Linked DNA regions of Caenorhabditis elegans. The protein of the gene in region 2 purifies or fractionates together with the protein of the main gene of each other region. This does not show direct contact. Each region holds a gene or a part of one and is shown on either strand. Other genes may lie near its edges.

Region 1 (3,193 bases), 9.1 Mb from region 2:
AAGTTTTTTTTTTTGTTAATTCGCATTGCACTCAATTTATCAAACAAAAAACGATTCAAAAATAGACTTTCAATTTAAAAACTTGCAATTTATACATTTTCCAAACTCGTCATATAACGAATACTAAAACTTTTACACAAGCTTTTTAAAATGTTCCCCAGCCTACCTCTGCTTGAAAACATTGCTCAATCACTTTGGGTGTCCTGGCATCATTAGAATCAACTTCCAGTGAGATATGTTTTACCTTATTTGCAAACCCATTGATCAAAGCTGTACATCTAAATGATTCGTAAAAATAATAGGAGCCCTCGCAACTATCCGATGTTGTGTTTGGTGGTGTGGTGAGAAAATTCACAATTCCTTCATAATTCTCAGTGATCGTCTTATAGCCGGAACTGCACTGGGTTTTGGTCGCATCGAGGAAGCAAGATTTGCCATCCAAAAACGCCATTTTCTGGATTTGCTTGTCGTTCTGAACATGAATTTTGAAAATTTATTTGGCAATAGTTACGGTGATTTTCGTGATGTATCTATCAGGGGTTGGGCGGCAATTACCGTTCGGCAATTTTTTTGGCGACAAATTCGGCGAATCGGCAAGTTGCCGGTTTGCCCATTTGCCGGAAATTTCAATTCTGATAATTTGCCGATTAGCCTATTTGCCGGAAAAATCGTTTGCCGCCCACCCCTGGTATCAAAAAAAAGTGAAAAAAAAACAATTTTTGGGATAAAAATTTGCAAAAAATCTTGGAATTCAAACATTTTTGCAAAAAATTGTTTATTTGCAATCATTAAATTAGTGGTACTTTTTGGAAGGCGGCGATTAAAAATATCAATTAGTTTTAAAGATTAATATTCAAAAATTGTAAGGATTCTGAAAAAGTGGCAAAACTCTGTGATTGCCATTTTTTCCCTGTCAATAAAATGTTTTTGAAATTTGTTTTTTTACTGTTTAAAAATCTTTACAAATAATTATAACAACTTTTGAAAGAAAACTTTGTTTTTGGAACTTTTTGAACTTAAAAAAAATATTTTCTGACAGTAAAAATACTCAATAAATGTTCTGTTATACTGCCAACCCGTATCAGGCATAAGTGCCTCAGTACCTGCCCACCTTTTAGAAACACCTACCGACAAAAAATCATATTCTCCCAAACATGAGATGTTTCTAGTTTCAGCTGCGGTATAAAACCATTCAATGCAAGAATTTACGTCTTCTGTCAAAAACGATCCTGCCGGAGCAGTACTAACTGCTGAAATAAGAATGAATACAACAGTAGCCTTCAAAAGTGACATTTTCCAAATATTTTTGGAGATCAGGTAGACCAACACACTGCAATGTCGCTTAATTTTTGTAACGGTCACATATTTATATCATGAGTGGGGGAGACTATTTACAATAAATAATCTCGCGTGCATGTAGGTAGGTAGACGTATACTTTGACCAAAATGTTTAGTGACTCACTTGGGATTTGAAAGGTCGATTAGAACTCAATAATCAGGAAATCGGAAATCAGGAGAAAGATAATTGACATCTCGACTCTGAAAAAATTTGGGGCGGCCGACATCTTGCGGGTCTCAAAATTTGAAGAAAAAAGAATTCGGCATGTCAACTACCATTTCAAAGGTATTAATTTTTCAACACCTAATATACTCATACTCTGATCAAAAACTCGAATTCGTTTATTTTATCTTTTGATCAAAAAAAAGTTGTTCCGCAATTTGTTGATTACCATACGATTCGGTATGAATAAAAACAGGATTTGTTTATGAAATTTGAAACCAGTGAAATTTCTTTATAAAAGAAGGGTGGCCAAAAACTCAGAGAATATTCAAAATATGAAGTTCACCGCAATTTTGGTCTTTGCAACATTTTTCGCCTTCACTTCATCGGCACCTACTCCTGCTGCGAATGATGTTGAAGAGCCGATGGTGAAGAAAACCGAGCAGATGCTCACCGTGGAGGCCTTCGATGGGTACATCGGGTTGCTGAAGATGTTCAAGGATATGTTGCCGCTGGATATTATTACGACGATAGATAATGTGAGTTTTCATGGAAAAAAGTTAGATGTTAGATAACATTTAAAAAATTTCAATTTTCAGCTGAACATCACCCAGAAAGGAGAAGTCGTGAGCTTCCTATCCAACTGGTTCCAGGATCGAATTCAGCGCCCAAATACCACCACTGAAATTGTCAGTGTGCTCCGCGAGCATCTTCCATCCGTCTTCGACAAAATCCACTCTTACAATGAAACATTCTACACAAAATTCAATAACTTGAAGCCAGAAACCCAAGCTCTCCTGCGTGAATGGCGTGAAAAAGCAGTGGATCTTCTCGGAGATCAACGACCAGCCGGCGAAACCGCAGGCCAAAACCTCCAGCTACTTCGCGACTTTGCCATGAGCATTCGAGATGTAAAATCTGAAATTCGGGATGACTTGAGGACCCAATTTCCTCAGGCGGTGTCGTTGACCGAAGGGCTCGGATTCACTGTGTTCACGACGATGATCATGGTAGTTCAGAAGATTGTGGAGACGGCGGCGGCGGTGAAGAATCAGGCGGTGCTGGCCACTGGATTGCCAGTGGAGTGCGCGCTTCCATTGGATTAATGTTTTTTTTTTTTTTTTAATTTAAAATTTTAAATTTTGCCATCTATTTTTAATCTAATAAACAATTTCATTTTTATCACAAAAAATTGACACCGGTAAATTTGAGATTAGATTTTTCCCCGTAAAAATTACTTTGAAATAATATAGCCTAGAACAAGTGGGACTATAACCCAAATATCTAAATTCAAAGCCGTAAGATAGGAAAGATCAATAGTTTTTGGATAGAAAAACTTCGGCATTTTCCCATTATACTTGAACAGTCTCTCAAACTTGAACGCGGCTTCATCCAGCGCCGGCATCGGCTGATCCGTGAAAGTTGACAGGAATTGCTCCGCTTGAATTTGATAAGACTTGTGCTCCACCACTTCTCGAATATGATTCTCGAGGTATTGTTCGGAAAGGTGGAATTTGTTTAAAATACGTGCAAATCCTTTGCTTTTGGCGAGCCACGCATTTCTCATTTGCTCCGCGAACATTGGCATGAAGAGTGAGGGAGTTGCGGAGCACACGGCTTCTTTCACACTGGAATTGCAGAAAAAAAAATTACATAGGCTTCTAATATTAAAAATTACCTCTTTAAGCCTCC
Region 2 (4,960 bases):
TCCAAGGTTCAGAGATTGACTAAAATAATGTTTGCTAGATCCCTGTAGAAGTTTATCACATAAAAGTCACTAAACTCTTTATAATTTTGGTTCAAACCGTGAAAATGATCATTTTTGGCATAACAACGTTAGACCAGTTGAAAATGATTTTCCAGCCGTTTATTTACATGAAAAGTCGTCGAATTTTTCGTGCTCAAAGCTCAAAGTTTTCTGTTAAAAATTATTTAGTAATTATTAACTTCGAGCTTACTAGAAATTTGACCCATTGTTTAGATTCAGATGAGTCAGTTTTACAGATTTGTAATTTGATAATGTTATTACTATAGCCATTTAGCATCTTGCACTTTTAATTAAATATCAATCTAAGGTATCAATCTTGAGCCTTGATCATTATCACCATTATCAAATTGAACCGTTTTAGCTTGCCGCCAACTGCCATTCTCAATGAAGTCCTTTTGAAAGTCAACAAACTCAGAGTCTTGCTCTCTTTGCTTTCTCACTATTTCTTTTGATTGGGCTCTTTTCTCTTGACCTCGAGTTTACTCAGTAACTTTGTGGTTGGCATGGATGGAATAAAAGAAAAACATACAATCGTGGAGTTTTTTCGCAGTTTTTTTCGGAATGCAACTGATGATGACAGTATTGGGTTAGACACACCCATTGAAATAAGGTATAAAAATGATCAAACGAAAAATCTTCACCATTTCTGCTCACTTCAATCGAACGAAATGAACACGTAAGTTTTCTAGCAAACGATTTATGTTATCATTAGGTAGGATGTGCATCATTCATTCGTAAATTTTCAGCCTCCTTGCTCTTTGCTCACTTCTTGCTGTGGCTTCTGCCCAATACTTGTATTATCCAACAAGTTATTACACACCATACTATTACTATTATCCAACCGCTGCAGTTGCTGGTACCACTGGAGTTGCTCAGCAAACTCAGGCTGGTGGAGCTTCCCAACAAGCTTATGCTCAACAGCAACCACAACAAAACCAACAGTATGCTCAAGGAACCCAACAACAACAACAACAGTATTATCCACAACAAACGCAACAGGGTCAGCAACAACAAACTCTTCAATACCAACAAGGAGTTCAACAGCAACCAGTACAGTATGATCAATCAGGAAATACCCAACAGGTTCAATATGATCAATCATCCCAAATGCAGCAACAACCACAACAACAACAGCAATACACGCCTCAATATGATCAATCTGGAAATACTCAAAATCATCAGCAAGGAACTCAACAGACTGGAGCTGTGGCTGCTCAGCCACCTTACTACTATTATACATCTCCATACTATTATTATGCTTATGGAAGAAAATAGAAGAGTATTACGGAACTTGCCCAGCCCATCGTTGTTTCATATTATGATTTCATTCCTCACACTGCCTTTATGCGAACGAAAATAATTGAAAAAAAAAACAATAAATGATTCGAAATTTATGCGAAATGTTGTGTAAGAAAATATTTTTGAAAAAGCAGATTAATACCTGAAAATATTTCCAATTAAAGCAGTGGAATTGTCTTCGTGCCTACCTCGTGCCTGCCTACATCTCAACTGCTGGCTTATTTGTTTACCACATGCCAGACCAATCAGTTTGCACGAAATATTATTTTTGAACTATTAATAAGATACATTTGTTATATCTGTACAGCCTGACACTTTTTTAGAGCGATTATTTGGAGAGTATTCAACACCATCATATTTTGATACCTGAGTTTCAGCCAGCTTAACAGTTTTTTCATTAAAACCGAACACAAATTCAACGGCCCACTAGTTACTCATAACCTAAACATTGGCAGGTGTTCTCTTACATAATCTGTTATAAACAAATGGATCGTCTCAATTTCCAATCAGGTATCAATGACATAAACAAATTATTCACCCTCCACCGTGCAACTCCATTAATTTCATTTCATTTTCGCAACAAATGATACCTAACTTACAGTTATTTCTTTCATTAATACTATTCGGCTTATTAAATCATGTATCTTCAATTGACTATGAAGAAATACACATCGAAGATTCATATGAAACAAGGTAACGAATCCTTTAATTTTTTTTCAAAATTACGTCCGAAAACATTTCAGATCACGTATTCTAATGGTTGATGGAAATGTGTGGTTGCATGCCGGAAAGGATAAAAATATAACGTTCAAAACGACTGGAAATGGAAGAATATATGTGGACGAAACAGATGTTTCCAAACTTCCAGATATTGTAGGTAGACTGCTGAAATTATCCAAAAAAAAAATGAACGAGCTTCTACAAAACATTTATTTTTGATACGTTGCTTTGCTTAACACACAGATTTCTTATTTAGTAGAGGCTTATGCCGATGGTTTCTTGGCAGCTTCCACTTCAATAAATTTGATGAGATCAGCTCGTTCGTCAGCTTTCTTCAAACCAGCGAAGACCATCTGAAAATTTCTTATTAATACTCCATCGCACTTCCTAGAAAATCCTACCTTAGTTCCGGGGATGTACTTTTTCGGATCAGCCAAATAGTCGAAAAGTGTTTGTCTGTCCCATACAACTCCTTTATTCTTGTTGGCAGCCGAGTAGTCAAATCCAGCAACTTGTCCGGATTGTCTTCCAATCACTCCGTTCAATGTTGGTCCAGTCTTTGTTTGCAATGAGTTGACAACGTGACATTGCTCGCAACGTTGTTTGAAGATCTGAAAATCAATAGGTTTTCTGGGAACACTATAATGAAAAATTTAACTAACCTTCTTTCCTTTCTCATTGTCTCCTTCTGGAATAGCTCCACCGGATGCCGTATCAGACTTCTTCTTGCCCATGTTTCAAGAACTGATTAAAACATAGACGGTCAGATTAGAAAAAGGAACGAAACGTGGATTACGAGTAAGAGTTGGAATTAGATAGTCGGAGATCACGCAAAAATTTACTTTTTGACAACTATTTAAAAAGAATCACTTTCCTGAGAAACGGTCACGTAAATTTTGATAATTAAGTTCTATTATTTTTATAAAACTTTTCAAAATGAATAATTGTTTGAAAATGTTTGAACTATGGAAGTTTTTGAAAATTAACTCGAATTACAATTTTCAATATTCAAAATAATTTTCAGGCATCTTTCAAGCAACTTGTTGGACGTATTGAGAACACTTCTCAAATGTTCACCACTTTGAAAAGTCGCCAGGACACGCAGACTTCTGCAATGAGAGTGGTTTTAAATTCTGCAAAACATTATCTAGTAGCGGTAATTCCATACATTTTTTTCTCTTTTTGAAATCAATTTTTAGCTTCGAAATATGACACTCGAAGTGAATATCTTGAAGAAGTGGAAAACTGATAAAATGGCCAGAGACATGAGGAGACGGGGATTATTGGTGAAAATGACACGTCAAATCATGTAAGACACAACAAGTTAGGTTTGACTATTTTTTATAAATTGTTAACTTTCAAGAGGAATCAACAAATTGATAGCAATAAACGCGTGCGATCCGAACAAATGTAGTAATGGAGGCACATGTATCCCATCTTTTGGCGCCAAATTCACTTGTCTTTGTCCTCCACATTTCACCGGTACAACTTGTGAAGCTGACATCGATGAATGCTCAGTATACAATGGTACAACTGCTGGATGTCAGAACAATGGAACATGTATCAATAACCGTGGCGGATTTGAATGTCAGTGCCAATCCGGATATCATGGATCTCTTTGTCAGTATCATATGTCCGCTTGCTCGAAAACTTTTGAATTGTGTGGTCCACATGGGCATTGTATTGAGAGTATTGTGGATCCAACTGGTCAGTCATCTTCCGATACAACTACGTACAAGTGTATTTGTGATTGGGGTTTCAAGGTTTCAAGTGATAAGAACAATCCAACGTGTGTTGATGTCAATGAATGCGAATCAAATCCATGTCATCCAGGAGTTGATTGTATTAATTTGCCTGGATCGTTTGTGTGTTCCGGATGTCCAAAAGGATATAAAAGTAAGTTAGAATTATATATGTTCAATCAAATCAAAAATAAAATAATTTTTTTGGTTTAATTCTTGTCTAGAAAATATATACTCGTATCCAAAACGTTTTCATAAAATAGGTAAGTAGGCATTTAAATAGGTCAATAGGTGTGTGGTAGGCATGAGGTAGACACGTACGCCTGAACAAGTGCCTACCCTGTATAACACTTACAAATTTCAAGCTTTTTTTGTGAAAATACTTGTTTGGATTTCTCAGTTCCGAGAATGAGGAGAGAAAGTCTTATAAACTTCGGCTTAACAATGTGAAAAATCAGAATTTGTTAGTTTGAAGGTGTCGAAAAATGTACTGAATATCTGTCATTGAAATCCAAAAAGTAAAATAAATTCAGCCGATGGAAATGTTTGTATTGATGTCAACGAATGTGAAGGTGAAATTCGTGTATGCTCTCCGCTTTCAAAATGTCATAACACTCTTGGCAGTTATTATTGTGATTCGTGTCCGACTGGATACTCCGGCGATGGAGGAAATTGTGTGAAAGATGATAGTTGTGTCAAAAACAAATGCCATAAATTAGCAACATGCAAGGTAACTGACGACGGATACAGTGCTGTTGGAGACTACACTTGCTACTGTCCAGATGGATATGTTGGTGACGGAATTGGAGAGGAAGGATGTGTTAAGTCAGCAAGTAACGTTTGCCAGAACCACAATTGTGTTAATGCTGGGAAATGCAAGGTAACACAAATGAAGACAAGTAAGCACTGTTACTCAAAAAATAGTTTTCAGCCAACAAGCGACACCGAATATAAATGTGAATGTGAAGCTGGTTTTCTTGGAAAGTTCTGTGAGAAAACATCACCGTGCCAAACGAATCCTTGCAAAAATGGAGGAACTTGTATTGCCGTTGAAAATTCTGCTTATTGCGACTGTCCAGAGCACTTCTTTGGTAGGGCATGCGAAGAAGAGGAAGAACGTAAGAAAATTCATTAATAAA

What was found.
Region 1: the proteins of cubn-1 (region 2) and C07G3.10 fractionate together in Caenorhabditis elegans (co-fractionation; one large-scale study listed by BioGRID). This does not show direct contact.

Annotation. Positions count from the first base shown.
Region 1 is NC_003283.11:3,500,471-3,503,663, forward strand, and holds C07G3.10 (Fatty-acid and retinol-binding protein 1), read left to right. Parts: upstream 1-1,836; coding exon 1,837-2,040; intron 2,041-2,100; coding exon 2,101-2,607; 3' UTR 2,608-2,681; downstream 2,682-3,193. Other genes in the region: C07G3.8 (T20D4.11-like domain-containing protein), read right to left, coding at 167-472, 1,129-1,293; ugt-64 (glucuronosyltransferase), read right to left, coding at 2,736-3,129, 3,180-3,193.
Region 2 is NC_003283.11:12,609,405-12,614,364, forward strand, and holds the start of cubn-1 (Cubilin homolog), read left to right. Parts: upstream 1-1,924; 5' UTR 1,925-1,942; coding exon 1,943-2,052; intron 2,053-2,102; coding exon 2,103-2,232; intron 2,233-2,277; exon of another isoform or gene 2,278-2,342; coding exon of another isoform or gene 2,343-2,432; intron 2,433-2,480; coding exon of another isoform or gene 2,481-2,690; intron 2,691-2,741; coding exon of another isoform or gene 2,742-2,813; exon of another isoform or gene 2,814-2,814; intron 2,815-3,103; coding exon 3,104-3,235; intron 3,236-3,278; coding exon 3,279-3,388; intron 3,389-3,442; coding exon 3,443-3,975; intron 3,976-4,354; coding exon 4,355-4,701; intron 4,702-4,752; coding exon 4,753-4,939; intron 4,940-4,960. Other genes in the region: ZC116.1 (Prion-like-(Q/N-rich)-domain-bearing protein), read left to right, coding at 564-736, 807-1,335; cyc-2.2 (putative cytochrome c 2.2), read right to left, coding at 2,343-2,432, 2,481-2,690, 2,742-2,813. UniProt on the Caenorhabditis elegans protein: Cotransporter which plays a role in lipoprotein, vitamin and iron metabolism, by facilitating their uptake.